Callithrix jacchus: one gene and its partners. The protein of the gene in region 1 interacts with the protein of each later gene in a pairwise test. Links are inferred from orthologs where the notes say so. Each region holds a gene or a part of one and is shown in the gene's direction. Other genes may lie near its edges.

The links.
Region 2: the proteins of BYSL (region 1) and MIPOL1 interact in binary tests that used the Homo sapiens proteins (3 or more experiments, as listed by UniProt). The two-hybrid records come from large-scale screens. The link is inferred for Callithrix jacchus from reciprocal best matches to the Homo sapiens genes BYSL and MIPOL1.
Region 3: the proteins of BYSL (region 1) and TRIM54 interact in binary tests that used the Homo sapiens proteins (3 or more experiments, as listed by UniProt). The two-hybrid records come from large-scale screens. The link is inferred for Callithrix jacchus from reciprocal best matches to the Homo sapiens genes BYSL and TRIM54.
Region 4: the proteins of BYSL (region 1) and PNMA2 interact in binary tests that used the Homo sapiens proteins (3 or more experiments, as listed by UniProt). The two-hybrid records come from large-scale screens. The link is inferred for Callithrix jacchus from reciprocal best matches to the Homo sapiens genes BYSL and PNMA2.
Region 5: the proteins of BYSL (region 1) and CEP70 interact in binary tests that used the Homo sapiens proteins (3 or more experiments, as listed by UniProt). The link is inferred for Callithrix jacchus from reciprocal best matches to the Homo sapiens genes BYSL and CEP70.
Region 6: the proteins of BYSL (region 1) and MID1 interact in binary tests that used the Homo sapiens proteins (3 or more experiments, as listed by UniProt). The two-hybrid records come from large-scale screens. The link is inferred for Callithrix jacchus from reciprocal best matches to the Homo sapiens genes BYSL and MID1.
Region 7: the proteins of BYSL (region 1) and LZTS2 interact in binary tests that used the Homo sapiens proteins (3 or more experiments, as listed by UniProt). The two-hybrid records come from large-scale screens. The link is inferred for Callithrix jacchus from reciprocal best matches to the Homo sapiens genes BYSL and LZTS2.

What each region holds. Positions count from the first base shown.
Region 1 is NC_133505.1:50,427,622-50,432,042, forward strand, and holds part of BYSL (bystin), read left to right. Parts: intron 1-2,261; coding exon 2,262-2,424; intron 2,425-4,421. UniProt on the Homo sapiens protein: Required for processing of 20S pre-rRNA precursor and biogenesis of 40S ribosomal subunits. May be required for trophinin-dependent regulation of cell adhesion during implantation of human embryos.
Region 2 is NC_133509.1:71,918,118-71,922,538, forward strand, and holds part of MIPOL1 (mirror-image polydactyly gene 1 protein), read left to right. Parts: intron 1-1,235; exon of another isoform or gene 1,236-1,308; intron 1,309-2,922; coding exon 2,923-3,154; intron 3,155-4,421.
Region 3 is NC_133515.1:87,714,064-87,717,839, reverse strand, and holds the end of TRIM54 (tripartite motif-containing protein 54), read left to right. Parts: intron 1-895; coding exon 896-991; intron 992-1,532; coding exon 1,533-1,766; intron 1,767-2,027; coding exon 2,028-2,050; intron 2,051-2,162; coding exon 2,163-2,287; intron 2,288-2,406; coding exon 2,407-2,498; 3' UTR 2,499-2,499; intron 2,500-2,786; 3' UTR 2,787-2,920; downstream 2,921-3,776. Other genes in the region: UCN (urocortin), read right to left, coding at 3,431-3,776. UniProt on the Homo sapiens protein: May bind and stabilize microtubules during myotubes formation.
Region 4 is NC_133514.1:15,060,882-15,065,772, forward strand, and holds the start of PNMA2 (paraneoplastic antigen Ma2), read left to right. Parts: upstream 1-1,825; 5' UTR 1,826-2,234; intron 2,235-2,691; exon of another isoform or gene 2,692-2,791; intron 2,792-4,891. Other genes in the region: DPYSL2 (dihydropyrimidinase-related protein 2), read right to left, coding at 1,006-1,359.
Region 5 is NC_133518.1:45,829,181-45,833,601, forward strand, and holds part of CEP70 (centrosomal protein of 70 kDa), read left to right. Parts: intron 1-2,302; coding exon 2,303-2,449; intron 2,450-2,622; coding exon 2,623-2,791; intron 2,792-2,970; coding exon 2,971-3,085; intron 3,086-4,421.
Region 6 is NC_133524.1:10,650,479-10,654,899, reverse strand, and holds part of MID1 (E3 ubiquitin-protein ligase Midline-1), read left to right. Parts: intron 1-414; coding exon 415-763; 3' UTR 764-4,421. UniProt on the Homo sapiens protein: Has E3 ubiquitin ligase activity towards IGBP1, promoting its monoubiquitination, which results in deprotection of the catalytic subunit of protein phosphatase PP2A, and its subsequent degradation by polyubiquitination.
Region 7 is NC_133513.1:93,956,584-93,961,004, forward strand, and holds part of LZTS2 (leucine zipper putative tumor suppressor 2), read left to right. Parts: intron 1-20; exon of another isoform or gene 21-147; intron 148-2,664; 5' UTR 2,665-2,706; coding exon 2,707-3,114; intron 3,115-3,671; coding exon 3,672-4,331; intron 4,332-4,421. UniProt on the Homo sapiens protein: Negative regulator of katanin-mediated microtubule severing and release from the centrosome. Required for central spindle formation and the completion of cytokinesis.

The sequences.
Region 1 (4,421 bases):
CCCAGGCTGGAATTCAATGGCAAGATCTTGGCTCACTGCAACCTCCACCTCCCAGGTTCAAGCAATTCTCCTGCCTCTGCCTCCCAAGTATCTGGGATTACAGGCACCCAACACCACACCCAGCAAATTTTTTTTCTTTTTTTGTATTTTTAGTAGAGATAGGGTTTTGCCGTGTTGGCCAGCCTGGTCTCAAACTACTGACCTCAGGTGATCCAGCCACCTTGGCCTCCCAAAGTGCTAGGATTACAGGCATGAGCCATCGCGCCTTGCCCATAATAGTTATCTTTTAACCCAATATATTTATACATTTATTTATGTCTGTCTCTTCCAATTAGATGAGATCAGTGCGTTCAGGGTGGTATGGTCATAGACTGTCTCCTCCAGTTAGAATGTAAGCTGTATAAGAACAAAGTTTTTTAGTTTCTCTTGTTCATGGATATAGCCAGCACCCCTAACACTGCCTCACATATAGTAAGTGCTGGGTGTTTGCTCAATGACTGGGTTAATGAATGATGTTGAGGTAGGTAGAAGCCAAGCCTAAAGAAGATTCAGAAACCATCCTAACATCAATAGGAAGAATGGGAAGCTGTTGGAGAATTTTAAGTACAGGCCTGATCAAATCAAATACCTGCTTCTGGAAGATTGCTGTCTGCAGAGTGAAAAATGAGTTGGAGGGAAGCAAGGTCAGAAACATGGATACCAGTGGGCAACTGTTGAATACATTCAGGCAAGAGATGATGCTCATCTAGGTGTAGATGGTGCTGTGAAGCATGTGAGAGACAGTCTATGAGGAAAAATTGAATAGGGTTTAGTAATTGATTGGGTGTTGAGGGTGAGGGCAGGGGATGAGGCAGGAACGCCTCCCAAGCTTAGTACTGGGTGGACAATGGTGCCATTTGCTGAGCTGTGGATGGTTAGCAGTGTAGACCTAGGAGGGAAAGAAGGTAAGTTTAGTTGATGACAGGTGAGATTTGAGGTGCCTGTGAGTCATCCAAGAGCGGATGTACCGGAAACACCTGGAGTTAGGATCTGGCGCTAAGGAGAACCACCTACAAAGTCCAAATTTGGGGGATTGTTGGCATGTGGAGACAAAATGTCAGTTCCCCCTTATTTAGCTTTTATCACACACTGCCTTTGTTAATGACTTATTGATATGTAGCATTATAGCCCCCACTTGGATTATTAGGCCCCTTTCCAGATGCCCACACATGTAGCCTTCCAAAAAAGCAAGTTATTTAAATGGACTAACTTCATTTATTGAAATGGACTGGTGGATTGAAATCTGAACTCTACTGTCTGACTTTAAAGGCCCTCCAGTCTGGCTTGACCTTGTCCCCCTAGCATTATTTCCTGCTATTGCCTACAAGACACTTACAGCCAAGCCTTATTTTCACTGGGTCTGGGACACACTCCTCCTGCTCCCAAACTCTACATCCAGCGCCTAACTGTCCTCACCACTCATCCTCTAAGTGCATGTTGTCTCTAGCACTCATTGTGGCATATAATCAAGCCCTAATGTGTGTAAAATGGTAGTGAAGAATGCAGTCTAGACCCAGACTACCTGTCAGGCAGATTACCCAACTTTTCGGTGCTTCAATGTTCCCATCTAAAACTGGGTATAATAATAGTAACTACTTCTGCTGGGCGCGGTGGCTCACGCCTATAATCCCAGCACTTTGGGAGGCTGAGGCGGGTGAATCACGAGGTCAAGAGATCGCGACCATCCTGGTCAACAAGGTGAAATCCCGTCTCTACTAAAAATACAAAAATTAGCTGGGCATAGTGGTGTGCGCCTATAGTCCCAGCTACTCGGGAGGCTGAGGCAGGAGAATTGCTTGAACCCAGGAGGTGGAGGTTGCGGTGAGCCGAGATCGCGCCATTGCACTCCAGTCTGGGTAACAAAAGCGAAACTCCATCTCAAAAAAAAAAAAAAATAGTATCTACTTCTTGGGTTTATAAGGGTTAAACAATTAACATGGGTACTCTGTTCAGAAGTTCCTTCTACATAACTGAGTATGGTATGTTCACTATTATTTATGACATTGCTTTCTCATTGTTTCCTGTGCATACATTTTGTTTCTCAAGCATGATTGCAAGCTCCTGGGGACAGGGAGCTACTGCATGCCTCATTTGTTTCACTGCACATACCCGCATCTATCACAACCACATGTGAGGCCTGTACTACATAATGGCTGAAGTTAAACTGACTAATGTTTCAGCCATCCTTGGCTGGGCTCATCCATTTAGTCTCCCTCTTCTAGGTCCAAGAGTGCCTCAGGATGGATCAGATGAAGAGGACGAGGAGTGGCCCACGCTGGAGAAGGCTGCCACTATGACAGGGGTGGGCTACCATGCAGAGGTGGTGGTGGACCCTGAGGATGAGCGTGCCATAGAGATGTTCATGAACAAGAACCCTCCTGCCAGGTAGGCCTGGCAATTTGGGATAGTGGGTCCTTGAAGAAAGTTCCCACAGGAAAACAAGTTCCCCGGCAGACTTATAATTCCCTACTTTTGGAAAGGGCCCTGGAGTTGCTGGTTGTAGGGGACCACCTTGACAAAGCTGGCCTGTCCTGAAAGGACCACTGTGAGTGGGAATGACCCAGCCTCAAAATGCCTTGTGTCCTTCCGTCCATTATTGTACTACTGCCCAATTGTCAGGGAAACAGCTACAGGCCCCTTTTATACCTCTGGGGAGAGCCATCCTGTTGCATTTGGTTTTGGTATTCTTGATTTTTTTAGTGGAAGCTCAACTTCTTGGATAAATCTTCATACCCTGAGCTTCATTTAAGCCAGGGGTTTTCAACCTCAGCATACTGACATTTTGGGCTGGGTAATTTTGCGTGTGTATATGGAGGCTATTCTGTGCAGTGTTTTGCAGATATCTCTCATCTCTACCTTCTAGACTCCAGTAGCAACCTTCCCTCTAATTGTGATAACCAAAAATGACACCAGACATTGCCAAATCTCCCCTGGGGGGCAAGATCGCCCCCAGTTAGAACCAGTAATTTATTCCCATCTATAGTAAATGCTAGCTCCAAACATGCAAGCATTTAGACTGCCTGTGGTCAGATTACTGAGCCCATAAATTTTGGCCCTGGGGAGTGGAGTCTAGGATAAGGCCCTTAAACAGTTCATTCTGACCCTGTGATATTACCATGATGTTGTCCCTGATACTTTAGGCTATTTTGGCTTAATGTGTCTCTCATTGCTAATCGTGCTGTAAGACAGGAGGCTGGTAAATTCTGTGGCAGCTTATTTGAAAATACAGAATGAGGCCAGGCGCGGTGGGTCAAGCCTGTAATCCCAGCACTTTGGGAGGCCAAGGCGGGTGGATCACGAGGTCAAGAGATCAAGACCATCCTGGTCAACATGGTGAAACCCCGTCTCTACTAAAAATACAAAAAATTAGCTGGGCCTGCTGGCACATGCCTGTAGTCCCAGCTACTCAGGAGGCTGAGGCAGGAGAATTGCTTGAACCCAAGAGGCGGAGGTAGCGGTGAGCTGAGATCGCGCCATTGCACTCCAGCCTGGGTAACAAGAGCGAAACTGTCTAAAAAGAAAATAAAGAATGAAGAAAATGAGCCCATCTCCCAGATTGATGGTTGACAGTTGAAATAGATGTCACAAAATACGTACCTGGGCTTGTCCCACCAGAGAGCCTCTCAGGTTCTCACTCAGCACTTCATAACTCCTACTTCACTGGTAACTCTGACAAACTTGGCAGAATGCTTCTCCAATTTGCAGTAAATAGAATAGACAAGCTCCCTGAAGTAAACAGAACTCCAGGCAGTCGCAGGAAATGATAGCTAGCATCTTCAGAAAGCAAACCTAGATCCATGTGGATTCAACAGTCAAGAGGCCATTTAGTTTAAAGGCATATTATAAGGTCCTATAAAGTACCTTAAGAACTTCAAAAACCTGAGTTTGACTGTTACTCCCCACCTGACAGCTATGAGGCCTTGGGTGAGTTACTAACCTGAGGCCCAGTTCCCATGTCTGCATAAGTTTCCGTGTCCCATAAGTGTTGCACTGACTTTAGGACTGAAAAGTCCCAAACTCAGTGCCTGGCACTGAGTAGGACCTCAGAAAAGAGGAGCAGTTTGTTTTTTTGTTTTGTTTTGTGACAGTCTCACTCTGTCAGCCACCCAGGCTGGAGGTCAGTGGTGTGATCTCTGCTCGCTGCAACCTCAACTTCTCAAGATTACTGGCATGCACCACCACGCCCGGCTAATTTTTGTATTTTTAATAGAGACAGGATTTCACCATGTTAACCAGGCTGGTCTTGAACTCCTGACCTCCCTCAGCCTCCCATTTTTGGGATTACAGGTGTGAGTCACTGCACCCAACTCAGGAGCAGCTTTAAGTACATTTCAGGCTGGGCATGGTGGCCCACACCTGTAATCTCAGCACTTTGGGAAGCC
Region 2 (4,421 bases), on another chromosome or scaffold:
TTCCATGAATGATAAGTAAATGAATGAATAAATAAATTAATACAAGTATTTGAATACTAATATAGTGTAATGCAGGATGGCAGAGAGGAAGAGTATTGAGAGCCTTCAGAGGATTTAACATTGATTTGCTGGAATCATATTTGCCAAAATAGTTGGTCAGAAAAGAAAAAGACAGGAAAATTTTTATAAATCAGCTATGTTTATTCTAAAGTAAAATTAAATTCTCAGACTGGGAGTCTGAGGTGGGAGGATTGCTTAAGCCCAGAAATTTGATGCCAGCCTGGGCAACATTGCAAGATCCTGACTCTAAAAAATATTTTTTTTAATCTTTTTAAAATAAATTTTCAGTAGAAGGGTATGGATAGTCTGATTTGCAGAGCAAGCTCCAAATTTCTGATGAGCCTTTTCAATTAGAAATCTAAAAGTTTTTACTACTGAACGAAATGAGAAATATCCAGAAATAGAGTCAAGTCACACAGTATGGATTCTTAAAAAATATTAAACATTTAAAATTAAATTTTAGAATGAAAGTCTAGAGTGTGTCAGAAATTGATGCATTGTAATAAAACTTCAAGGACTTATATTTACTAAGACCCAGGAAGGATCAACAGAGTCCTCTTATTGGGAAGCTCTTATTGGGAAGCTTCCATATTTGCTCTAAGTTTGAAGAAGATAGTATGGTCACAAGTAAAATAGTGGTGATTTATCAAGAGTTCAGGAGATCACAAATTTGACATTAGGTTATAGCTGAAGGAAGAGAACTATAAAACTAGTAAACAAATAGCGAATTTAAATAGCAGAGATAAGATCAACACCAGGAGGTTAGGAATAAAAAACTGAAAGTAAAAAATATACTGAATTAATTTTAGATAATGGTAAATTTGGTCTTGAACAGGTTGAAAAGCACTGGACAAGAGTCTGAAGCAGTTGTGCGGCTGTCATGGGGACCTGGGGGCTTTTATAGTTGACAGTGATCCATGGACCATTCTTTTCCCTTTTGAAGAAACATGGTACTTCATAAACTGAAGAAGAGTGGGGGGCCTAATAGTTTTTAAGAAATATGTCCCTAGGGGCAATTTTGTTATTTGATAATGCTTTCAGTGATTATTTCTGATTGTTTTTCATTTGAGTTATTTACAATGTTATATGTTATGTGTTATATGTGTTAGAAAGCATAGTCTATTAATGATATAGAGGCTTTCCTTAATGCCCATTTATAAACTTTTCTCATTCAGATTTTGAGAGTTCCATTATGCTAATGCAGCCTATTACAGACAAGTTGCATGGTGACTATCTAATGCAAACAAAGTAAGAATTTCAAGATGTCAAATATGAACAAGTGATCTTCAGATGTATCTGTTCCTAAAACTGTCAAATTTAAGTTAATATAATGTTGAAGGTTCACAGCTCTCTTATACTGTATAATTATGATAGGACATTCTCTCTTCTAATTCATTTCTTCAGAGTGAAATAGAGAGTAATTTACCAAAAACAGATGTACTCATCTAGCTTCTAGCTAGCAATAAGAATAATGTCCAAGATCTAGAGTTCATAACTGGCTATACCTAATTTCAGCAAATATACAAGCAAATAATTTTTTCTTAAAAAGTGAATATTTTTATGAGAGGTATTTTATTTATAAGTGCCCCCTTTTGTTTAAATTCTAAAACAACTCTCAGCCTGAGCAAAATAGCAAGACCCCATCTTTACAGAACATAAAAATCAGCCAGGCAAGGTGGCATACTCCTCTAGTTCCAGGCATTCGGAAGACAAAGGCAAGAAGATTGCTTGAGCTCAGGAGGTTGAGGCTACAGTGAGCCATAATCATACCACCACATTCCAGCCTGGCCAACAGAGCAAGACCCCATCTTAAAAAAAAATAGGGTAAAATAAAATAAAACTACTCGTATGTGCCTCCAACGATTGTAAGTTTAGCAGATTTAAAAAGGCACCACCAAAAATCAGGTGAGATTCATCTGCCTTTTAAAGTTCAAGAAATATTTCTGCCCTAAATAAGGAAGTACTAGTTACAATCAGTACTGGGGCCTGTTGAATTGATTTACTAGTGAATGAGTTTGCTTTGTGTTCGTATTTGTGTGTCATTTTCTCCCCAAAACTTTACTTTGTCATTACATGTACATTGTCCCTTTGAAATAGCCATTATTTACTAGCAGTAGCTTAAGATAATTTTTGTGAGATAGGCATTGCAAAGTATCTTCTCTGATGTATAATACATCCTAGAGATGAAGGTTAGAAATCATTCTCCCTTGTATTGTGTCTATTTTAATATTATGACGATGATTACAAAAATAATAACTAACATGTATTGATGTGTCAGGCACTAGGCCAAGTATTTTGAGTATGTTAACTCAGTCCTTAACAACAAATATTATATACCCATTTTACAGAAAAGAAACTGAGAGTAACTTGCCCAAAGTGATTCACTTGGCAAAGCTGGAATTCTAACCCAGGCAGTCTAATACCAGAGTTCCACATATATTAACTCTTCACTATAATAATTATTTTATACTATTTTCAGAAATCTAGAAAAGTTCACCTAGAAAATAATATCCCCAAATCAGTGATTCTCAGCCTTGAGCGTATGCTGGAATCATTTGGGGATCTTCAGAAATTTAAACTAGGTCTCACTCCCAGAGATTTTTTAAGCTCTGAGGATTTAAAAGAAATCTCCTTAGGTTATTCCAAAATGCAGAGTTATCTATTGACTGTGGAAATGGAAGTCTCAATGGTAAAAACCACACTGTATATGCTTATGTGATTACAGTAGAAATAAGACTAGAAATTATATCTTTAAAGCTATGAGAGTATTTCCAAAAATATTTATTTGATTGATTTAATATCAATAAATAGTTACAGTGTTTGATATATCATGTGTTATTTTGTTTGTTTGTTTAAATACAGATATAACCCACAGTTATCTTGAACAAGAAACTAAAAGGATAAATAAAAGTACACAGCCAGATGAGCAACTGACTGTGAGTTCTGAGGAAAATATGCATCAGAAATCCACTGAATTAGTTAATGAAATAAGTTATGAGAACACAAAATGGTCAGAGCAGAGATCAAGGAATTTTCAGATCATCAGTTCTTACCCAGATGATGAGTCTGTTTACTGTACTACTGAAAAATCCAAGTAAGTGCTCACAGCCTTAGATTTAGAAAGTAGGAATGGGGGCTGGGCGTGGTGGCTCTTGCCTGTAATGACAGCAGTTTGGGAGGCCAAGGCGGGCGGGTCACTTGAGGTCAGGAGTTTGAGACCAGCCTGGCCAACATGGTGAAACCCTGTCTCTACTGAAAATACAAGTATCAGCCAGGTGTGGTGGCACATGCCTGGAATCCCAGCTACTCAGGAGGCTGAGTCATGAGAATCACTTGAACCTAGGAGGCGGAGGTTGCAGTTAGCTGAGATTATGCCACTGCACTCCAGCCTGGGTGACAGAGCAAGATTGTCTCAAGAAAAAAAAAAAGAGAGAGAGAGAGTGGAAAGTAGAAGAACTTTTTCTTCCTTTCTCCTTTCTTCCCTTTTTTCTTCTTTCCTTCTTTCATTCTTTTTGGAGTTGACTAATTCTAAACTCATTAGAATTTGGGGGATCTACCAGGGTTTTCTACTGTTTCTGTGATATGGATATAATATGTCTAGTTAACTAAGTGAAAAAGCACAACGTGCATCTAACGAAAGGCAGTGAGATTTAATTCTATCTTGTTCAATATTATTTTCTGTGATGTTTTATTATATATTTGAAAATAACTGTTAAATTGATATACATGAAATATCATTCATGAAAGTAAAAAGCTGGCAGCTCTAGGATAAGGTAAGCCCAAACATGCATTTTGGTTTGGGTTAGCACTGTTTTTCGTTTAAATGAATTTGAATGCTGTTAAAAGGGCCTTGTGCTCTACCATTTGCCTTCCTTATTATTTTACATTCTCAGCTTTTACCCATTCATCTTGCCTACCTAGCTCATGAAAGGATTTGAATTTGTGATACCTTATACTTTTAAGTATGAGATTAAGGAACTTTGATAATTAGTCATGTACTATAAAAATATTATTAGATTTAAAAAGAAGTTTCAGTGACTAGTGTATTTTCAGTCTAGATAAAATAATACTTTACAGCATACAATTTTTAACAGAGTTTTGCATAGGAACTTTTATTTCTACTTTCAAATTATTCAGTAGATGTGTTAATGGATAGTAACATATAATAAAACCTTTTAACCCTTTATCAGATTCTTACTAGGATGTAGATTGGAGTACATATTTGGGGGTAGAACCACAGAATGAAGTAGGGATAAACATTTTATAACCACATGGGTAAAGTAAATAGTAGAGATTGGGCTAAAGTCAGATTATGAGATATCTATTATAATTACAACAGAAGATTTACATGATAAATAGAG
Region 3 (3,776 bases), on another chromosome or scaffold:
GTTTGAGGATGCAGTGAACAACAATCATACCATTGCCCTCCAGCCTGAGTGACAGAGTGAGACTGTCTCTTAAAAAAAAATCAGGCCAGGCGCGGTGGCTCATGCCTGTAATTCCAGCACTTTGGGAAGCCAAGGGGAGCAGATCACCTGAGGTCAGGAGTTCAAGAACAGCCTGACCAACATGGAGAAACCCCATCTCTACTAAAAATACAAAATTAGCCAGGCATGGTGGCACATGCCTGTAATCCCAGCTACTTGGGAGGCTGAGGCAGTAGAATCGCTTGAACCCAGGAGGCAGAGTTTGCAGTGAACCGAGATCACACCATTGCACTCCAGCCTGGGCAACAAGAGCAAACTCCGTCTCAAAAAAAAAAAAAAAAGAAACAGATGAATTAAATGACCGCTTTGTCTGAAAACAGAACTAGTGAACAGCATGAGGGGACTGAAAAAAAAAACAAAACAAAACAGAATGTGTATCTCTGGGAGAGGAGAGGGTTGAGCGTGAGAATCAGATTTCCAGAATGAGAAGATAAAGAGAACAGAGAAGAGGCAATATTATGCAAATGGATAATCATCAAGAATTTCTTGCATCAGAATTGATGCAAGAAACGAATCTTCAGATAAAGCATCTAGCCCTGTGCCTGGCATCTGGTGGATGGAGACTGTCTGTTCCTTCCCACTTAGTGGTGGAGGGCTTCTTCTCTCCACCTCCTTCTAGAATCCCTAGAATGTGCTTCTGTACCTCCTGATAGTTCAAGTCTTCTAGAGGGCTGTAGATGCCCTCATGGTGGGTGGGGTGAAGGGGACAGCCCTCTTCTAGGCAACCCTGGCTGGGGTGAGGGGTGTAGCTCTAGACCAGGTCCCAGTTCTAAGTGCTGACCTGTTTGTGTGTCAGAGTGAGCTCAGCGATGGCATTGCGATGCTGGTGGCAGGCAATGACCGGGTGCAAGCAGTGATCACACAGATGGAGGAAGTGTGCCAGACCATCGAGGTGAGCCTGGGCTAGAGGGAGGGGGGAACAGCAACTGGCGGGTCTGCGGACCCCGGGCTTCCTTCCAGAAGAATTGCTGTGGCCAAACTGGTCTGAAAGTTTCTGGGGTCCTGAAAGTGGTGGGATGGGCTTTAGCCAGGCTGCTGGGTATGCATTCCAGCTTTGCCTCGAAACTTTAATCCAGTTATTTAACTTCTCTGTGCTTTGGTTTTGTTTAACCTCATAAAACAGTGATGATGATAATGGTACACCAGCTACCTCATGGGTTCTTTTTAAGAATTAAATGGAATAACGCAAGTAAAAACCAGGGCTAGGGATATAGACAGCACTCATTGAAGCTACTTTAAAACATTGTGTTTTTATTATAGAAGAGATCTGGGCTGGATTCTGGCTCAGCCACTAGCAGTGGCACTGTGGACGGGTCACTTTCTGTCTTGGTTCTCTGAGCTCCATCAAGTGGGGAGCAGGCCCAGTACCCTGGGATTTCCCAGCCACCGGGTCTCAGCCACGCCTTCCCTGGTCCTTGCTCCCCATCTTTCAGGACAATAGCCGGAGGCAGAAGCAGTTGTTAAACCAGAAGTTCGAGAGCCTGTGTGCAGTGTTGGAGGAGCGCAAGGGCGAGCTGCTGCAGGCACTGGCCCGGGAGCAAGAGGAGAAGCTGCAGCGTGTTCGTGGCCTCATCCGTCAGTACGGAGATCACCTGGAGGCCTCCTCTAAGCTGGTGGAGTCTGCCATACAGTCCATGGAAGAGCCACAGATGGCGCTCTACCTCCAGGTGGGCTCTAGGGGAGGGTGGCAGTGCTGCAGAGTGGCTGGAGTCGGGGCCTTGGCACCTGGACATCCAGGTTCAAGTCTTGTCTCTTGGACCTGCCTTGCCCCTACCACCTTGGGCAATTCACCCCCTCTGAGTTCATTTTCTCCTTAATGAAATGGGATGTACCTTCCCACCTACCCTGCAGGACTGTGGTGAGAAAGAAATGGGACTTAGCCCAGGTTGGCCCAGTGCTTACTCTCACCCTCCTTTTCTCCCCTGCAGCAGGCCAAGGAGCTGATCAATAAGTGAGTAGGCACAGCGGGAAGGGAAAGGAGGGGGCTGCGCTGCTCCACTGGCTGGGGGAGGGGCTTGAGGGTGCTGGGGCATTGCCAGTTGAGCCCAGTGTGGTTGCTGCAGGGTCGGGGCTATGTCGAAGGTGGAACTGGCAGGGCGGCCAGAGCCAGGCTATGAGAGCATGGAGCCATTCACCGTGAGCGTAGAGCACGTGGCCGAAATGCTGCGGACCATCGACTTCCAGCCGGGTGAGGGAGATGGCCAAGGGCCACCGGGACTGGGGTTCCGACCCTCCATGTGGGGGCAAGGCGGGCAAAATGGCAGGAAAGGCAGGGACTCCACCTCACCAGGCCTTCCTTGGGCCCAGGCACTTCCGGAGAGGAAGAAGATGAGGAAGTGGCCCTGGACGGAGACGAGGGCACTGCGGGGCCGGAGGAAGGGCGGCCGGATGGGCCTTAAGGTGAGTGTCCTGAGGGACTTGAAATGGGGCCTGGCTGGTGCACTCATGTCCCCTCCCCCGGTTACTGTCCCCCAATCCTCGGTACCACCCTACCCCGGAGCCACAAAGGTGCATCCCCCAGGGCGGAAAAGCACACTTCCTCCACCCCCACCGTACCTCCGGGTTACTGGGAGGGCAAGCAGAGTTGGCTGAGTAGAGGAGAAACCCACGTGGCGGGCGACCGAGTGAGCTGGGCTCGAGCTGCCTCGCGCCTTCTCAGCACCTGCTCACTAAGCCTTCTTTCCCAGGCACAGGTCTGCGCCGACCCGACTCTGGTCAAGAGCCTGCGCTAGGGTCGGGGAGGATCTGCGCAGAGACCGCAGAGTAGCCCAGCTCGGCGCCCGCCCCGGGAGGATCTTAATAAAGAACTCGAGCTCCCAGACCCGTATCTCCTTTCGCTGCCCAATCCCTCAGCTTCGGCTTTGGAGGCGACCCGCCACCATTCTGCCCTTCCTGGAACCTGAGACCGTTTGGGCGGGTGGAAGCCAAATGAACCCTTTTTGGGCACCTCCGTGATGCCAGGAGAGAACTGGTGAGCCCAGCACCCTTGGAAGAGGGTTGAGGGCAAGGCGGTGGTGCCGGGACCTGAGGTCCTGGGGATTTGGGGAGCCCTGGGGTCCACAGGCACCTGGCTGACCTGGCTGAAAGCCGCTCTCCCGGAGCCCCCCTCCCCCGCGCATCCTGTTCCCTTCCAGCTGGCTAGGGGGCCCCACCTTCCCACAGGTTCCCACCCTGCTGTGACTGCCGCCCCCCCAACAACAGAAGCCAACAGCTCTTCAGCACTTTTATTAAAAAATAGCCACGCAGAGAATGCTCTGGTGGCTCTGCCCCGCGTCCCAACCCTGAGGTGGGGGAAAGGGGTCAAAGTTTTCGCGGCCCCAAACCAGGCCCATCACTTGCCCACCGAGTCGAATATGATGCGGTTCTGCTCGGCGCGCTCCCGCTGGCTTTGCGTCCGCGCCAGCTCCAGCAGGGTCCGCAGCAGGTGAAAGGTGAGGTCAATGGACAGAGGAGGGTTGTCACGCCGCAGCCGATCCCCTGTCATCCCGAGCCCCGCGCGGCGCGGGAAGCGCTCCGCTAGCAGCAAGAGGAGCGCGCGGGCTCCGCCGCCCTGCTTCCGCGCCTCGGGGCTCCAGCGCAGACTCGGGTCCTGGACCCCAGCCACCTCGGGGCTCTTCTGGCTGCTCCCAGGGCGCAGATGTACTAGGAGCAGCAGCGCAGCCAGCAGCGCCGCGCGT
Region 4 (4,891 bases), on another chromosome or scaffold:
TTATCAGTTAAGAAACTAAGGCTGTGGAAAAGGATTACCCTAGTGTAAGGATCACTCAGATAAAGGAAGAACTGTGGTGTGAGACGATTACTGCGCTAAAAATGCTCACTGTTCATATTTGTCAGAGGCTGACAAACACTTTCTAAAATCAAGGCTGACCAAATTGGCCTTTGTTTTCCTCATTAACACAAGAAGAGGGGTCTAGTCTTCTTCGATAGTCTATTTCGAATGCGAGGGTTTTTCCCCCTTTTCCTTGTCTTTTTGACCCTTTGAACATAGCCTACTCAGTTCCCCAGTTCCTAAAGCGCCTCCCACATAGCGGCTTGGGGAGCGCTGTGGGAAGCCCTGGCTGAGACACTTATTGGAACTTTGTTCCCCACATAGGCTATTTAGGAGCGTCTCGGTTTCCGCGGGCGACTCCAGGGCCTCCCTGGCTCTTCTCTGGCTGCCAGCAGGAGTCAAGGGCGGTCCGGGGGGCGCTGACCATGGTCCTGGCCTCGGAGCTCGGGACTCGAGCTCAGGAGGCGACGGCTGAGGCTGCAGAGAGCCGCCGTCGGAACCCTCGCCCCTCCCGACCACCCAGGAGCCGCGGGCCTTCACGCAAAGCCTCCCCCCCACGCTCCGAGCCGCCTCAAAAAAGGGTGGGGCACCCAGCCGCAGCTGCAATAGGAAGCCGCCCGGGAGGGTTTCAGAAGAATGGAACCGCAGCCAACCCTTCCCAGGCGACCACCGCCCGCCCCAGCCCGGGATCGGCCCATCCCCTCTGCCCACCCCCCACCTCCCAAGCTCAAGGAGACGCGGGCAGCCTTTGTGGGCGCACAGCCGCCCACCGCCCAGCCCGAGCCTCGCCGCGCCCTGCGCGGAGAAGGGGCGGAGGGTGCGCGTGCAGATGCGGGAGGCGAGGTCCAGGGCGGGGCATGAAGGCGGGCGCGCCGGGCTCAGGGGCGAGGGAGGGGCAATCCCCGCGCCCCGTCCTGCGTCTCCACCCCCCACCCCCACACCGACCTGGTCGTAGATGTTCTGCAGGGCTTCCTTGCCCGAGGCCCTCCGGATCTCCACCTTCCGGCCCGATTCAACAGATGGCTCCCCGCCGGCGCGCCGGCCCTGCCGCGAGTACGGCGGCTGTGGGTCCGGGCCCAAGTGGGCGACGTCCCGCTGCTGAGCTACCACCTGCCCCGAGCCCCGGCCCACCGACAGCGAGTCGAAGTCGATGGTCTTGTTCTCCGAGGACCCTTCCACCGGGCAGAACATGCCACAGAATTTCTGCCGGGGCTTGGGGCTGCCTGAGCCCAGGTTTTTAAAAAAGGCAGGGACCTCTTCGTCCTCTGCCGCCTTCCCAGACTGCTTTTTCTCGGCCATGGCTCGGGGGCTCGGAGAGGGTCCTCGCCGTCCGTCCGTCCGTCTGCCAGTCCCTAAGTCTCCCTCGCGGTGTGCACAAGCCCCCTAGCTGCTGCAGCGGCTGCCGCTCGCTGCCCACCGCAAGGTGCACAGAAAGGAAGGAGGGCTGGCGAGCCGGCGACCCACCCTCCCGGTCCCTCCCCCTGACCCCGCTTCTCCCCTCCCTGCCCACGCCCCCCGCGGCCACCGCGCGAGCTCGGGCGAGCGGCAAAGTTGGATCTGGGAGGGCGGCCGCTGCGGCTGCGGGAACGGAGAGGCTGCCAGTTCCCGGCAGCGCGGGGAGGAGGGAGGCGCGGGCGGGGCGCAGGCGGGGCGCGGCGCCAGGGAGGGGAGCGGCGCGCAGGGGAGGGCAGGAGGGGAGGGAAGGAGAGAGAGAGAGGGGAGGGCGGCACCGCCCCTAGCCCAGAGCTCCGGAAGTGAAGCGGCCAGACCACCGGCTAATGGATGCGGAGCGGAGGGCTAGCTGACTGCTCTCCGCGCCTGGGTAAGTATCGGGCAGGGCACGCGGGGTGAGGACCGGAGGGCGCAGCCCCCGGCCCCTGTGCCCCTCTCCCCCACCTGCCCGGCCCAGGCACCTCTACCTGTAGTGAGGCTGTGGTCGGCCGGGGTCGAGGGCGCACTGTGGCTACGGCTCCCTCCCCGTTACCCTGGGTGTGAGCTGATGGATGGGAAAAGGGGACCAGCCGGGCGCCAGCCTACTCCAGGTGTGGGAAGGGGGGTGGCACTGAAGATGAACAAGGGGTGACACAGGACGGGGGCAGCCGAGACGCTGGACACCCAAGCTTCAGTTTGCCCACTCGCCTTGGCAGGCTGCAGGGAGCAGAGAGACTAAAACCGTAAGATTCCCGCTTCGTGCATCCACTTTGGTGTGGTTGAGGTGGCGGGTGGTGGTTGGGGGGGGCACAACATGGCGGGAAGAAATGCAGAGTGGCGTAGCAGATGGGAGACGAGTATAGAGAGAGACGCAGGTCTGAGGTCTATAAGGGTGTAGCAAAGAGTGCGGTGCGGAATTCCAGCCCAGTGCCACGTCTTAGAAAGGCGGTGCAGACCCGCTCTATTGCCCAAGGGCGCCATGGACCCTTTCTGCACCACTGCGCCAAAAAGGACGCAGGAACGTGTCGCGATTTGGTTTCTTCTGCTTCCCCCCCAAAAAATAATAATAAAAAGGGGGGGGAGAAACAAATTGAAACCCCCTCCCCAAATCTCCAGCTGTTCCCGGCGCCCCAGCGCCCCGCCTGGCTCCCCCGCCCCTGTTGCGCACTGCGCCACAGACGCGGCGTTTCCCAGGTTACCAGATGCCACGTGTTTGGGAGTGAGCGCGGATGCGCATCTGGTGAAGAGTAGGAGGTAGGTTGTGAGTACCGTGAATTGTGTGGAGCCAAGCGGAGGAAAGGTACGTAGGAACTTGGTGTGCGTGTGCAGGTAGTGGAGCTACTGCCACCGAGGTGGTAAGGGGGGGGGGGCAATTGGATTTGCTGCGTAACGCGGTCAGTGCGGGTTCTTCATTGCTTAGTCCCATCTCCACGTCCTTTCTGCGTATCAGACCTTGCCTCTGCCGGATGACAGCCCCTCCTCTCTTTCCACAGTGGCAAGATCCTGCGGAAATGGTGCCCCTCCTTTGGCGGCCCGGGAGGGAGGTCTGGGCATGCTCAGTAACCTGGGTGGGTTTGGGCTGAGAGGCCGTTTCCCGCAAGGCCACTGCGTAGGGCCTTGTGACCAGGAATCCTGTCCCATTGTCAGCCCAGGAGTAAATGCGGTTACCAACCACTCCCACCGTTCAATTGTAGGGATAGTTTGGTGAATAGAGTTACATCTAGTGGACCACCAGTTGCAGTTTGAAGATCAGCCCACCATGATGGTAGAAAGTCGTCTCCAGATGAGAAAGGGAGACTGAGGAAGAAGAATATAGGAGTGGAGGGGCTGAGAGAACCCGACGGGCCAGATGTGCTTTGCATTTGAATAAAGCATTTGAAAAAAAAAAAAGCGATTCCAACTGAATTACATCATTTCCCACTCACAGCCCCCTGTAAGATTCATGCTTATCAGCACTGCTTTCCAGGTTGGGAAACAGATTTAGAGAGCTTGGTCCAAGGTTGGGTATCTACTTAAATGATTCAACAATTCCAGTGGGGTCTTCCACTTCAAAGTCTGGCTTCTTTTCCAGCTTGTCCTGTGACCCCCTTTATGTGAGAAAATACAAGGTTCTTCTTTTTTTTTTTTTTTTTTTTGAGACGGAGTTTCGCTCTTGTTACCTAGGCTGGAGTGCAATGGCGCGATCTCGGCTCACCGCAACCTCCGCCTCCTGGGTTCAGGCAATTTTCCTGCCTCAGCCTCCTGAGTAGCTGGGATTACAGGCACGCGCTACCATGCCCAGCTGATTTTTTGTATTTTTAGTAGAGACGGGGTTTCACCATGTTGACCAGGATGGTCTCAATCTCTGGACCTCGTGATCCACCCGCCTCTGCCTCCCAAAGTGGGATTACAGGCTTGAGCCACCGCGCCCGGCCCAAGGTTCTTCTATTTCTACCATATTTCCATCTGTGGCCCTATTGTATATCAAGGGTATTTCTTGCCATGTTTTTATTAGAAAGTCACACTACAGATCACATTAGGAGGAAGAGGCATGGGAAGATAGCCTAACTTCAGCGTAGAGGTCATTCTGTAGACCATAGAGATGCTTCTTTCTGGGCAGTGTCTTTTTACATTCTGTTTCCTCTAAATATCCCGGTGGGGGATATTTAGTGTTGTGTTCACAGATGTGAGCCACTGCACCTGGCCCTCCCCCCACCGGCCCCCATATTTTGTTGTGTTTTTGTTTTTGTTTTAGTTTTCAGGCAGAGTCTTCCACTGTGACCCAGGCTGGAATGCAGTGGTGCAAACGCAGCTTACTGTAGCCTTGACCTGCTGGACTCAAGCAATCATCCCTCCTCAGCCTCCCAAGTACTTGGGACTACACACGAGTACCACAAGCTCAGCTAATTTTTTTATATTTTTTTCTTTTTGTAGAGGCAGGGTCCTACTATGTTGTCCAGGCTGGTCTCAAACTCCTAGGCTCAAGTGATCCTCCCACCTTGGTCTTCCAAAGTGCTGTGTTCACAGATGTGAACCACTGCACCTGGCCTTCCCCTCACCGGCCCCCGTATTTTAGAAAGGAAAAGTCAGGCATAGAGAAGTCAGAAGTCTCAGGTCCCTGGGGCTCCTGGGCACAGAGGTGAAGTAGCATTTTGCCCTCCTGGCTCTCTGGCACCCTAGTGTCTTCAGCACCTGCCTAAAGATTCTAGAGATGTACGCACAGCGGGAGCAGCTGCTGATAGAGGTACAGGACAGCATTGAGGCATATGGCCCCCATTCGAATTGATGAAGATGTTTAGGCAAAAAGGGAAATGACTGCAGCCCCCTAACACACACTATGCAGTGGTAACTGGGAGGTATTAGGAACTCTAACTTTTTTCTTTTTTGAGGCAGAAATCTCACTCTGTCACTCAGACTAGAG
Region 5 (4,421 bases), on another chromosome or scaffold:
TTACATAAGATACTTAGTGAAAATCATAAAGACAAAGTAGAGTGGTGATTACTAGCGGGAGGAGGAAATGGGAAGTTGCTGTTTAAAGGGTGTAAAGCTTCAGTGTTACAAGATGAAGAAGTTATGGAGATGGATGGTGGTGTTGGTTACACAACATTATGAACATTTTTAATAACACCGAACTTACATTTAAAACTGGTTAAGATGGTGAATTTTATGTCTATTTTACTAGTTTTGAAAATTGGAAGAAAAGAAAGCTGGGAAAGACATGGAGCCAGCTGCCTCCATCTTTCTGTCTTTTCCCTCCTGCCTTTCCAAGAAAGTGAACTACAGATGTTATAGCTTCCCCCAACCCAGTACACTCTTGAATACTTTGACTTTCCTATTCTCCAGTGCTTCAGAGGCCAGACATACATGGTAGGCCGGCCCATGGTAGTACTTCTACGTCTCCACAACTAGGCAATGTAAAGAACCTAGGAGACCCTCATATTTTTCAAAGCTTACTTGATGAACTGCTACAACCATCCTCTCACTGCTTAGGAGACCAGAACATCTTTTTCTTAGCTTTGTAATACTCTTTTATTCTGAAGCAAAAATGTATTAGATTGGGTGTGCTTTTTTCCATAAATTACTTTATAAATGTGCCTTGTAGCTGGAGCATTGATTAATAAAGGGGTCATTATGCTGTTGCTTACTGACTTTTTTTTCCTCCCAAATTCTAGTGGCACTGATTGTAAAACATTCATTTGACACAGAATGTATTGCTGTGAATTACTAAAATAGGTAACTGTCTTCCTACCAAACGAAAGGTTAAAGATACCAATATGTGAAGTGTGAGCCTTAAGTGGAGAGTGTCAAGTGAAGTACTAAAATAAGTTCGAAAAAGGAAGAATTTCTTGTACTTCTTTCTGTTCTCTAGAGCTGTGCTGTCTTGTATGGTAGCCTCTAGCTGTATGTGGTTATTGATCTCTTGAAAGGTGGCTAGTCCTAATTGAGATGCGTTAGAAGTATAAAATATACACTGGATTTAGAAGACTTCATATGGGAAAAATTGAAATATTGATTTTATATTGAAATGATAATATTTTGGATATATTGGGTTAAATAAAATATTACAGTTAATATCACATGTTTCTTTTCACTTTTCATACTATGGCCCTAGACAACTTAAAATTACTGTGGCTCACATTACATTTCTTTTGGATAGCATTGTTCTAAAGGACTAAGCACTGTTCCATACATATATGAATTGAGTATCCCTTATCTGCAGTGCTTGGGGCTAGATTAAGAATTTTTTCAGATTTTGGAGTATATGCCATTTGAGCATCCCTGATCCAAAAATCCAAAATTCAGAATGCTCTAATGAGCATTTCTTTTGAGTGTCATGTTGCTCAGAGTTTCAGATTTTAGAGCATTTCAGATTTTTGGATTAGGGTTCAGTAAGTATTTGTCGACTGACCAGTCTAGAATGCTAAACTTCCAGTAGCCTTGCCCATTGTGCACAGTTTAAAATCACTTAGGGCATCACAGCTAGGACAAGAAAACAGAGTATTGTAAAGTAGAATACATTTAGAGAACCTTTCACATTGAAAACCTGCCTGGAGGTACATGTTATAACATTATGCTAAGTGAGAGAAGCCATTCATAAAAGACTGCTTATTGTATAATTCCATTTATGCAAAATGGCCAGAATAGGCAAATCCATAGACACAGAAAATAGTTTAGAGGTTATCCCCTGGAGCTGTGGGAAAGGAAAAATGAGGAAGGAAGGACTGTGAGTGGGTCTGAGATTTCTTTTTGGGGTAATGGATATGTTCTGAAATTAGATAGTGCTGATGTTTGTACATGTGTGAAAATATTAAAACTGAATTGTATACTTAATGAGGGTGAATTTTATGGTATCTGAACTACATTTCAATAAATCTGTTATTCAAAACTAAAATACAAGGGCAAGTTTATTCTTTATGTATCAACAATTCAAAATAACAAAATAACATGAAACAATAATAAATAATATAAAATTACTTAGAGCACCCAAATGCAGAATAATCAATATGTAATGTTTTCTGTAAAGCCTATGTTTACCTGGAGAAACCTAATTTTAACTGACTTGTTCTAAATTGGTAATAGTGTTATTAAAAAATACCAATGATGGTTACATATATATATATATTTTAACCTGCCTATATAATGTTTTATTAATTTTATAAAATACATAAAACTTATAATTTTATTAATTGTGTTATATTACTATAGAAATTATTTAAATCAATAATACCATATAGTTTCTTTTGTTATAAAGGATTTGTATAAGTCCTTGAAAACACTATCTGCAGAACTGGTACCTTGGCATAATCTGAAGAAGCAGGATGCAAATGAAGGTATCAAAGTTGAAGATTTGTTATTTATAGTAGATACTATGTTGGAAGAAGTTGAAAATAAAGAAAAGGTAATAATACTTACATAAATGGTCACATTCTAATGTACTCTTATCTTAAAAATTGATAATTTGATGTGGATATTAATATTTGTTCTACAAGAGTTCTGTTTTTCTTTTAAAAGTTTTTATTTGGGATTATTTTAAGATATGAACTCTTTCTTTTTTACCTCTCTTTTGGACAGGACAGCAATATGCCAAACTTTCAAACTTTGCAAGCTATTGTCTCTCACTTCCAAAAATTATTTGATGTGCCTTCTTTAAATGGAGTCTATCCTCGAATGAATGAAGTTTATACTAGGCTTGGAGAAATGAACAATGCTGTGAGAAACCTCCAAGAACTCTTAGAATTAGGTGATGACCTAATTTGTCATTTTTGGCCCCCATTTAAGAATTGTTTTTAATAAATTAACAAAAAGTAGATAAAATTTTTCTTAAGTAAAAAAAATTGAGGATAACTGAAGCATAAAATGTTTGATGTATGTAATTTTGGAAATTTTCTGTTGAAATATCCTTTTATTTCTCTTTTGCAGATAGTTCATCTTCATTGTGTGTGTTGGTAAGCACTGTTGGAAAACTCTGTAGGCTGATTAATGAAGATGTGAATGAGCAGGTTATGCAGGTATTAGGACCTGAAGACCTCCAGAGGTACTCATTTCAAAAGTTTACAGAGTATCATCCAGAATGGCCAGGTGTGGTGGCACACACCTGTAGTCCCAGCTACTTGGGATGCTGATGTGGGAGGATCACTTGAGCCCAGGAGTTTAAGTCCAGTCTGGGCAACATAGTGACAGCCTGTCTCTAAACAATAAAAGAAAAAATAAGTATTGTCCAGAATTCATGGAGGGGTGAAATTAAAGACTTTCAAAACTCATTTACCTTCCCTATTTGGAATAGCATCTTTTCTCTGTGTGTGTTTGTGACTGTAGGCACACACCACCATGCCCAGCTAGTGTGTGTGTGTGTGTGTGAGTGTGTGAGTGTGTGTGTGCACGTGTGCAGGTAGAGAGACAGACAAGTTTTCACCATATTGCCCAGACCAGTCTCAAACTCCTGGGCTCAAGCGATCTGCCTGCCTTGGCCTCCCAAAGTGCTGAGATTACAGGTGTGAGCTACTGTGCCCAGCCTTGGAATAGCATCAATTTTTTTTTTTTTGAGACAGAGTTTCGCTCTTGTTGCCCAGGCTGGAGTGCAATGGCGCGATCTCGGCTCACCGCAACCTCTGCCTCCTGGGTTCAGGCAATTCTCCTGCCTCAGCATCCCGAGTAGCTGGGATTACAGGCACGCGCCACCATGCCCAGCTAATTTTTTGTATTTTTAGTAGAGACGGGGTTTCACCATGTTGACCAGGATGGTCTCGATCTCTTGACCTCGTGATCCACCCGCCTCAGCCTCCCAAAGTGCTGGGATTACAGGCTTGAGCCACCACACCCGGCCTGGAATAGCATCTTTTAAACAAGTTGACAACCTAAGATAATCTCACACCCTTTGGGACGAGAAAATGCCAAGTATTTAAAAAATAAAAATAGATTGTAGGGCTTATAAAGGTCAGGAACTCTTCAGCATAATCCTGTTCTCAGGAAATATTATATATGGAGAAGTTCAAACCTTGTCAGCAACTTTATGTAGTTCTGATCATATCAATAAGTCCTATTTTTAGGACCCTACTATAGACCACTGAATACTCATTAATAGTATATTTATTATTTGATTAGAAGATAAATGTTAAGGATGTTTTTAAAAGACTAGGCATGTCTAACATAAAACCTGGTTTGTTTATTTGTTTATTTTTTGAGACAGAGTCTCACCCAGGCTGGAGTGCAGTGGCACCGTCTCAGCTCACTGCAACCTCCACCTCCCAGGTTCAAGCAATTCTCATGCCTCAGCCTCCCGAGTAGCTGGGATTACAGGCATGTGCCACCACCTCTGCTAATTTTTGTATTTTAGTAGAGGCAGGGTTTCACCATGTTGGCCAGGCTGGTCT
Region 6 (4,421 bases), on another chromosome or scaffold:
TGCAGCTCAAGTGCCCAGTAGCCACATGTGGCTTGTGGTTACCATATTGAGCAGAGCAGAACATTTCAATAATTGCAGAAAGTTCTTTTGGTCAGCACTGGTCTAGCAAATTCATTGTGTAGGTTTTTATGAGTGAAAAAAAGCAGCAAAACACAAAGTTCAAAGTCTTTATAGTGTCTGAGCTGAAAACAGAAATGTGGGTAAATACGATGCTTCTTTCTACCCACTACATGTTTGGGAAAGAAGGAGATGAGGAACACAGATGTTGGGGTTCTTGCCAAGCTTTCACTTAAAGAAAATGAAGAGGAACAACAAATGATTATCTTTTCATAACCCCTGAGGACCATAGAACAGATTTAACGTGCATGTGCAACATGGCTTATTGTTTTTGTTGTTGCTGTTTTGTTTCTGCAGGTATGCCATTGGCCTTGCTTACAAATCAGCCCCAAAGCACGAATGGATTGGGAAGAACTCTGCTTCCTGGGCGCTCTGCCGCTGCAACAATAACTGGGTGGTGAGACACAATAGCAAGGAAATCCCCATTGAGCCTGCCCCCCACCTCCGGCGCGTGGGCATCCTGCTGGACTATGATAATGGCTCTATTGCCTTCTATGATGCTTTGAACTCCATCCATCTCTACACCTTCGACGTCGCATTTGCGCAGCCCGTGTGCCCCACCTTCACCGTGTGGAACAAGTGTCTGACGATTATCACTGGGCTTCCTATCCCAGACCATTTGGACTGCACAGAGCAGCTGCCATGAGTGTCTGGCCACATGGAGCTGCTTTCCGGGGAACAATAAGGTTCAGGCCACTATTTAGGGGACTGAGAAAGCACAGGCTTCATGAGAGTGATGAAATCTCACCAAAAGTGTCCAGAAATCGGCTAAGATAGGGCTCAAAACAGGAGATTCCTCTCCTTTTACTGTGTCTTGTATTAAGTATGGGCTTTAATAATTTCTTTAATTTTTTTGTATTTAGAGGAAAATCTATAGATTATTTATAAGAGAAACATAATCGGGATTACAACTTTTAGGAATTATTTGGTTTTGCACATTAAAAGGCCCATAAGTTTACCAGCTATTTACAACCTTTATTTCATCACAATCTATGGGCTTGCAAAAAAAGAAAAAAAACACTTTTGTAATTTTGTATGTTTATTTACCTTCGAACCTAATATCTCATAATGATCCCATGTAGGTCTTGTTACCTAGACAGTGCATATCAGGATGTGTTTGAAACTAGTAGGGGAGTAAACAGGCTTTCTTGCTGTGGTTTAATTTGAAGTGTTTTCATCGTGATGTCAAAAACTTGTATTGCATCAACTAAAATGGAGAACAAGAGAGAGAATGAAAAGAATTGATTTTGGACCTCGGACTTTGCCGTGGCTAAATCTTTACCCTCTGATGGCTGATGGGATGATGTTGAAAAGAAAGTTTCTGAATCCTTTGGCCACATTTTGCCCTGCTTCTCTCAGGGTTAAGAGTTCTGGAAGAACATTAAGAATGAGATTGCAATTGAAAATAGTTATTTTGAATCCTATTGATTATTCAAAAATTCAGGCTGATTTGTCTTTTATCATAGGTAGGATTCTGTTTTATGATATAAAATCTACTTCATCCTTCCTTTTAACAGTTCCTTTAGACCTGTGAAATTTCTTCACTACGTTTAATAGTTGTCCTATTTCCCCCTCCCCCATATCAATTTTCCTTTTGTCTCTGGGGCTGAGTAAATAAACATGTTCTGTCACAAATAGCAGCACCACTTTGGATTGAGTTTGCTCTCCAGGACATCAGCACATGGCCCTGATCACTGCTACCATATCCAAATGTAAGTCACTGAAAAACACTTAATATTTATGAGTTGCTAATAACAAGGGACATTGCATAAAGTACTATTTACTAGATACATGCCTCAAAAGTTATTATAAACAGACCTTTATTAAACACATCTTGAAAGATGTAGAAGTCCCTCTGTAGTCTAGTATAGTTTACAATAGAGTTGTAAGACCAAAAAAAAAAAAAAAAAAGAAACTTGTTATTCAGGAACTTGCTTATAAAATGTCAGCTGGGATTCTTTGCATGCCAATCTGATGCGTTGGAATGGTCCATGAATTAAGGCTTTCTTGAGTAGTTCTTGGACCAGAACTCTGGCATCAGTTCTACTTTGCTGAAGGGTGTGACCTCTGTAAATGGTTTCAATTGCTAAAATATTTACCTGGTATACTGGGTCAGCCATTTTGATGGAACAGACTAGTGGATTTAGACATTGTTTTAGTGATTTTGTTTTTAACCAAATCAACCAACTGCCTCCCTGAAATAAGTCAATGAATCCATTGTTTCAGCATCACGTAGCCAAAGCTCATGTGATTGCAAATCTCGACTTCAAGGGAGGCCACCCAGCTTCCTGGGTCCTTCCATCCTCTTCCCTAGCAGACACTCTCCTTTTTCTTAACAGATAGATTCTATATATTTACTATATTATTTATACCCAGATGAATATTTTGATAGATACCTAAGACAATTTCACATCTAAAAGATGGACACCTCAATGGAAAAAAATTAATCTTTCTCTGGAAACCTTATGGGTTTTTCTTTTTATTACAATATAAAAGCAATGTGTGTTTGCCTTCTCTGAATAAACTGAAAGGGTTGTCTCAGTAATTTTTACATACATTTTGAGTAACTGGATAATGGATATTTTAATGCACTTTGTACAGTAACAGGTTCTAAATAAAAGGGTCTAAAACTCAGCTTCTGAGTTTTTAAAATCATGGTCTCCAGGTACCAATAAATGCTACAGTTTGCCTTATGATGTTAACATAAAACACTTACTAGAAGGACAATATTTCCTTGAAAATAATGTTTTTCAATATTAAGAAGTCACTACTCCAATTTTCACAGTAAGCCATTTAGGGTATGTTTTGGCTATTTTTATAAGGACATGAGAGATTATGTCATAATTTTGTTGTGGAAGTCTCACTCTTGGCTAACTTAAAAGCATTGTGGATAGTAGCAGTTACTATTTCCAGGTTGTCATATTTACAGGAAAATATGTATATGGTGAAAGGCCACCATGTTAAATTACTATAATGATGTAGAAAAGAGTCCCATGTGAATTTTTTTGAAAGTCTAAAAAATGTATGCTGTAAAAATTTGCTGTAGTGTAATTTTTGCATTGTCTTTAAATGGATTGAGATCACAGTATTTTATTTTTTGAGGCCCTCACCACAGGAAACACTGCGATACAGTGGCAAAAAAGATGGCAGTGCCAATTAAATTAATACAATAAAATCAATGCAGCACCAACCAAGACTGCCAGGTCTGGTATCATGGGTATGCCCAGAGCCCAGGAGTTCAGAAGGGCCCTAAGCTTGATTTAATGCTCTGCTGTTGCTGTCTTGAAATTCTTAATAATTTTTGAACAAGGGGCCTGCATTTTCACTTTGCACTGGGCCTTGCAAGTTATGTAGCGAGTGCTTATAATAGAACTCAGAAACCTGGTACCTCTCTTCCTGGTGGATACAAATAAAGAAATGTGGATCCAAAGTTGAAAGTTGCTGGTGATATCATTCAAGTAGGACTCTAAATAGTGGATTAAGATGAGGGTGGGCCTGGGTGAAGATTCTTTCCAGCTTTAAAAGAAAGTGACTTCAAAAACTGACTGCAAATATTGACAATGATTTCTGCTGGAGAAGAAGAAACTGCCTGAATGCAGACAGGCTTTTTTATTACGGTACTGATATATTGTCCTTCAACTTGCTGAGGAACTGAACTAACGTCCTCCAGTGGCCGTGGAATTCCATCTCAGCTCCAGAAACATGCAGATACCTGCAAAGAGACACACATATGCTGACATACATGTGCGTTTGGTGTTGGGAAGTTGACTATCTGGTCTACCTTAATAAAATGGCGAAAAGCACACAAAAACAATGATGGGGGCCAGAGGATGTGTTTGAAAGCAGTGCTTCTCAACCAGGGCTCGATTTTGCCCCCCAGGAGACATTTGGCAATGCCTGGAGTCACTTTTGGTTGTCACAGCCAGGAAAAGGAAGCTACCAGCATCTAGTGCGTAGAGGTCATGGACACTGTTAAACATCTACAGTGCAAGCGCAGCCCCCACCACAAAGAGTCACCTTGCTCAAATATCAACAGTGCTGCAGTGTAGAAACTTGACCGTTGGTTTTTTTAAATGCAAAACTCTGATAAATACCTTTGACTTTTCCTGTCATCGAGTATATGCTTGATACACCCAAAAAGAAAAGCGGGGGGCACCAATTCACCTTCACTGCAGTGGCTCCTTCACCTTTAAAAATATTTATAAAATAGTTACAAAAATATGTTAACTGAAAAGCAGTCCAAGCCTATGTAAGTGGGAATCACTGATAAGCATCATCATCTGTGTGAGCTTGGCTTGGACATG
Region 7 (4,421 bases), on another chromosome or scaffold:
CCGGGGGGCGCCGCGGAGGCGGAGGCGGGGCCGGCCCGGGCCGCTCGGAGTGGCGGCGCGCGGGCCGGGATCGGGGCCGGAGCCGGGCGGCGCGCCTGTGGAGCGCTGGGGGCGGCCTGGGGCTGAGCATGGAGCAGCGCGGCGGAGGTGAGGGGGGGCCGGGGCTGGGAGGCGGCCTGGGGCGCCCCCAACTTCTGCGCGGTGGAGTCCAGCGGGGAGAGGGCATTGCCCAGCCGCCCCCACTTTCTTGAAGCGGGTCTGGCCCCTGGAGAATGGGTTGGGGGCTCCCCGCTTCCCGCCGCGGAGCGGGAACTCGTGATCGCAGACTTGACCCCGCTTGACTGGTTCTTGGAGTTTGGGTGGGAGGGAGACTTTGCCCAACTCTTCAGACCCCTCGCCGGCCCTGGACGAGCTCCAGCCCTCCGCTCCCCACAGCCCGCTAAAAGGGGGATGCTCCTGGGTCAGAGTGATTGCTTAGGGAGTGCTGAGGAGAATGAGGGGTTCCCATCTCCCACAGCCACAAACGCATTTCTCAAAATGGAGCCGCCACTTGCCCCTCCTTCTCTCTCGGGCTCCAAGAGCGGGAGCCGGGCCGGCTGGGCCTGGCTTTCCAGACTCCTGGCTCTGGCTCCCTGGGTGTGTGGCTCTCAGGGCCCAGCTCTGTGGCACTTTGGACTTAGGGGCCCTCGGCTCCATGGGGTTGGGGGGCCCTGGCTCACTGGGTCTGCCTGGCTTTCTCCTTGTCAGCCTGACCCTCGGGCCTCTCCGAGTCTTTGTCTCTTTTGGGTTCCTGTCTTTCTCTGAGTCTGTCTCCTTCCTTCAGTTTTCACTTTCTCCCTGCTCGATGAAGTGGGGAAATACAGCAGAGGTGCCAGCCCCCTGGGCCCCCTAAGTCCCTTCCCCACTGTTCTTTCCATACCCTGGAGTGGACCCAGAGACGGGAGGGGAGGGGAAGGGGTTCTCTATCTGCTCTGCTCGGGGCTGAGACCGGTGGGGTGGTCTGAGCTGCAGCCCTGCATAGAGGCCTGTGATTGCTCCCTGGGCCTGGCTCACCCCTCCCCCAGCTCCCCACAGCTCTGGCCCCAGCCTGAACACCTCTTCCTGGTTCGCAGTGTCTTTTGACTTGGGTGGGAAGGAGGGCAGTGGATTTAATGGAGCGCATACGAGAAAGAAGGGGAACAGATCAGGCAAAGGAGTTAATGTCCCACCTCTCCCCACATGCCAGAGGGGGAAGGAAAGAGGCTCCCTTCACCAGCTGGTCCTCAAGCCACCCAGGCTCCCACCACTCTGGTACCTACCTGCCCACATTTACAGGCTCACCTGCACACCCTGGTGCACTCACCTTTCTAGTCACACACTCAAACACTTAGGAGCTCACACATAAACTCATATGCTGACGCATCTGTCCAGGCACCGTCTCATCCACACACCACAAATTCACATTTATAACTTTCACAGGCTTTCTAAGAATGACCCCTTACCCATGTACTTTTGTAAGATATACACATGTGAATTCACACGGGAACTCGTGTGTGAATGTGCTGATAACATCAAACATGCATAGACTCACATTCATATTTTCACACACATTTTCGTATATACACATGGTGTTCATTTCCATGCTCCTGTGCATGTAGTCACACAACAAATAACTAAATGCACACACTCCTACTCCCAGTGCAATTCTCTGTCCACTTCTTGGCCCCGCTCTGCATGATGACTTCAGCAGATGCCTAAGTCCTGGTCATCAGTGGCCTCAGGACTGGGAGTAGGGAGGGGGTTCCGGGTGGAGGCTCACATCTGCTTCCTGGAAGGAGCAGGGCCTGGGGAGGTGGAGCCCTCTTGCCTGGGCTCCCTGGAAGTGAGGCTTTGGAGCAGCCGACAAAGGTGAAGGCGGGGCATCTACCTTCCTCCCCTCAGGGTTTCTCTGGGGACCTTCTAAAGCCGTAGGGTTTCACAGAGGTTGGTAGTGGGGCAGAGCCTGTGGAGGCTCCTTTAGGCCTGATTGGATGTGCAGAGGCTAGGAGTTGTCATGGAAACTGGTATGAGCCTGCATCCACCTCTGGGAGGCAGGAGACCCTGAAGGACACCTGTGGACTCCCTAAGAGCCATGGGTTTCTTATTTAGCCAGATCCACAGAGAGGCAGTTTAGCCGCCTCTCTGGGAGAAACTGAGGCCCAGCAGGGGGAGGCAGGGCACTGCCTGGCCTTGGCTCTTTATTCCCTAATTACCATCTCAGGTGCTGATTGCAACCTTGAGGTGCCTCTGCCCAGACTACCCTGTAATGAGGCCACCTGGCTCAGAGGGCCAGAGACCTGTGCTGGGAGCTGCTAGAGAGGGCCCCTCCCTCACCTGAGTCCTGGCCTCTGGGGAGGATGCAGGATTGGGCTTGGGCCTGGGTCTTTGCTGCCAAGTGGCCTTGTGGTCATTACCTCAGCATCTCTGCTGAGTGAACTCAATCCTTAGCCCTGTTTAGACCTACATTGGGCACTGTGGTCTGGGGCCCAGGGGGAATTGAGGTTCATGCCAGCACTTGAAGGGGGAGTCTCGGTGGGGATCAGGGCTTGTTACTGATGTCAAGGAGGCATCAGTTACTTGGGCTTGTTACTGGGTCAGGAGGGGTCTCAAGGTAGAGGGACTCTGACACCACTGCCCTGCTTACAGGTCACCTGCGAGGCCGCTGGCCAGGCCTGAGCCTCTGCCACCATGGCCATCGTGCAGACTCTGCCAGTGCCACTGGAACCTGCTCCTGAAGCTGCCACTGCCCCACAAGCACCAGCCATGGGCAGTGTGAGCAGCCTAATCTCAGGCCGGCCCTGCCCTGGGGGACCAGCTCCTCCCCGCCACCATGGCCCTCCTGGGCCCACCTTCTTCCGCCAGCAGGATGGCCTGCTTCGGGGTGGCTATGAGGCACAGGAGCCGCTATGCCCAGCTGTGCCCCCCAGGAAGGCTGTCCCTGTCACCAGCTTCACCTATGTCAACGAGGACTTCCGGACAGAGTCACCCCCCAGCCCAAGCAGTGATGTGGAGGATCCCCGGGAGCAGCGGGCACGCAATGCCCACCTCCGTGGCCCACCACCAAAGCTCATCCCTGTCTCTGGAAAGCTGGAAAAGGTGAGGACTGGCTTTTCCTTGTGTGCCTGGGTAACATCGGGAGCTCCCCTTGGGAAACTGGAATTTAGAAGCCTATATCGAGGAAAGAGTGTGGGCTCCAGAGTCACCAGACTGGGTCCTAGTCCCAGCTGTCTCTCATTCTGGCTGTGTGACCTCAGGGAAGTCACTTAACCTGAGCCTCAGTTTCTATAACTGAAATGAAGGTCAAATAACGTATAGTATAGTGCCTGGCATGTAGCATGTGTGCAGTACGTGCTAGTTGCTTACATTCTGGTTATTCTGCACCAGCTATACATTTGACTTTGGGCAAGGCCTTTCACCTTGCTGAACCTCCATTTCCTCATCTGTGATATGGGGATAGTGATAATATTTAGATAATGGGGATGAACCTTTCAATTGCTTGACACAAAGCTGACACTCAGGAGGCTTTCCGCCCATGGCTGCAATTGTTATGACTATATGGCATTAGGGACCCTAGATGGGAGGGCAGGGAGTGTCATAAGGGCTCTGCAAGATTGGGCAGCTTATCCCCAGTGTCACATGGCACCTCATTTCAGAACATGGAGAAGATCCTGATCCGCCCAACAGCCTTCAAGCCAGTGCTGCCCAGACCTCGAGGGGCTCCGTCCCTGCCTAGCTTCATGGGTCCTCGGGCCACCGGGCTGTCTGGGAGCCAGGGCAGCCTGACGCAGCTGTTTGGGGGCCCTGCCTCCTCCTCCTCTTCTTCCTCTTCCTCTTCTGCTGCTGACAAACCCCTGGCATTAAGTGGCTGGGCCAGTGGCTGCCCATCAGGGACACTGTCTGACTCTGGCCGAAACTCACTGTCCAGCCTGCCCACCTACAGCACTGGAGGTGCCGAGCCAGCCACCAGCTCCCCAGGCGGGCACCTGCCTTCCCATGGCTCCGGGCGAGGGGCACTGCCTGGGCCAGCCCGAGGGGCCCCTACTGGGCCCTCCCACTCAGACAGTGGCCGATCTTCCTCCAGCAAGAGCACAGGCTCCCTGGGGGGCCGTGTGGCTGGGGGGCTTTTGGGCAGTGGTACCCGGGTCTCCCCTGACAGCAGCTCTTGTGGGGAGCGCTCACCACCACCTCCCCCTCCACCCCCTTCGGACGAGGCCTTGCTACACTGTGTCCTGGAAGGAAAGCTCCGAGACCGGGAGGCAGAGTTTCAGCAGCTGCGGGACGGTCTGGAAGAGAACGAGGCGACCCTGTGCCAGGTGTGGTCAGAGGCAATGATGGGGAAGGGGCATGCCAGGACATCCCATGTCCCTGGGAATGCAAGGGGCATTTCCATTTTGGCAGGGAAG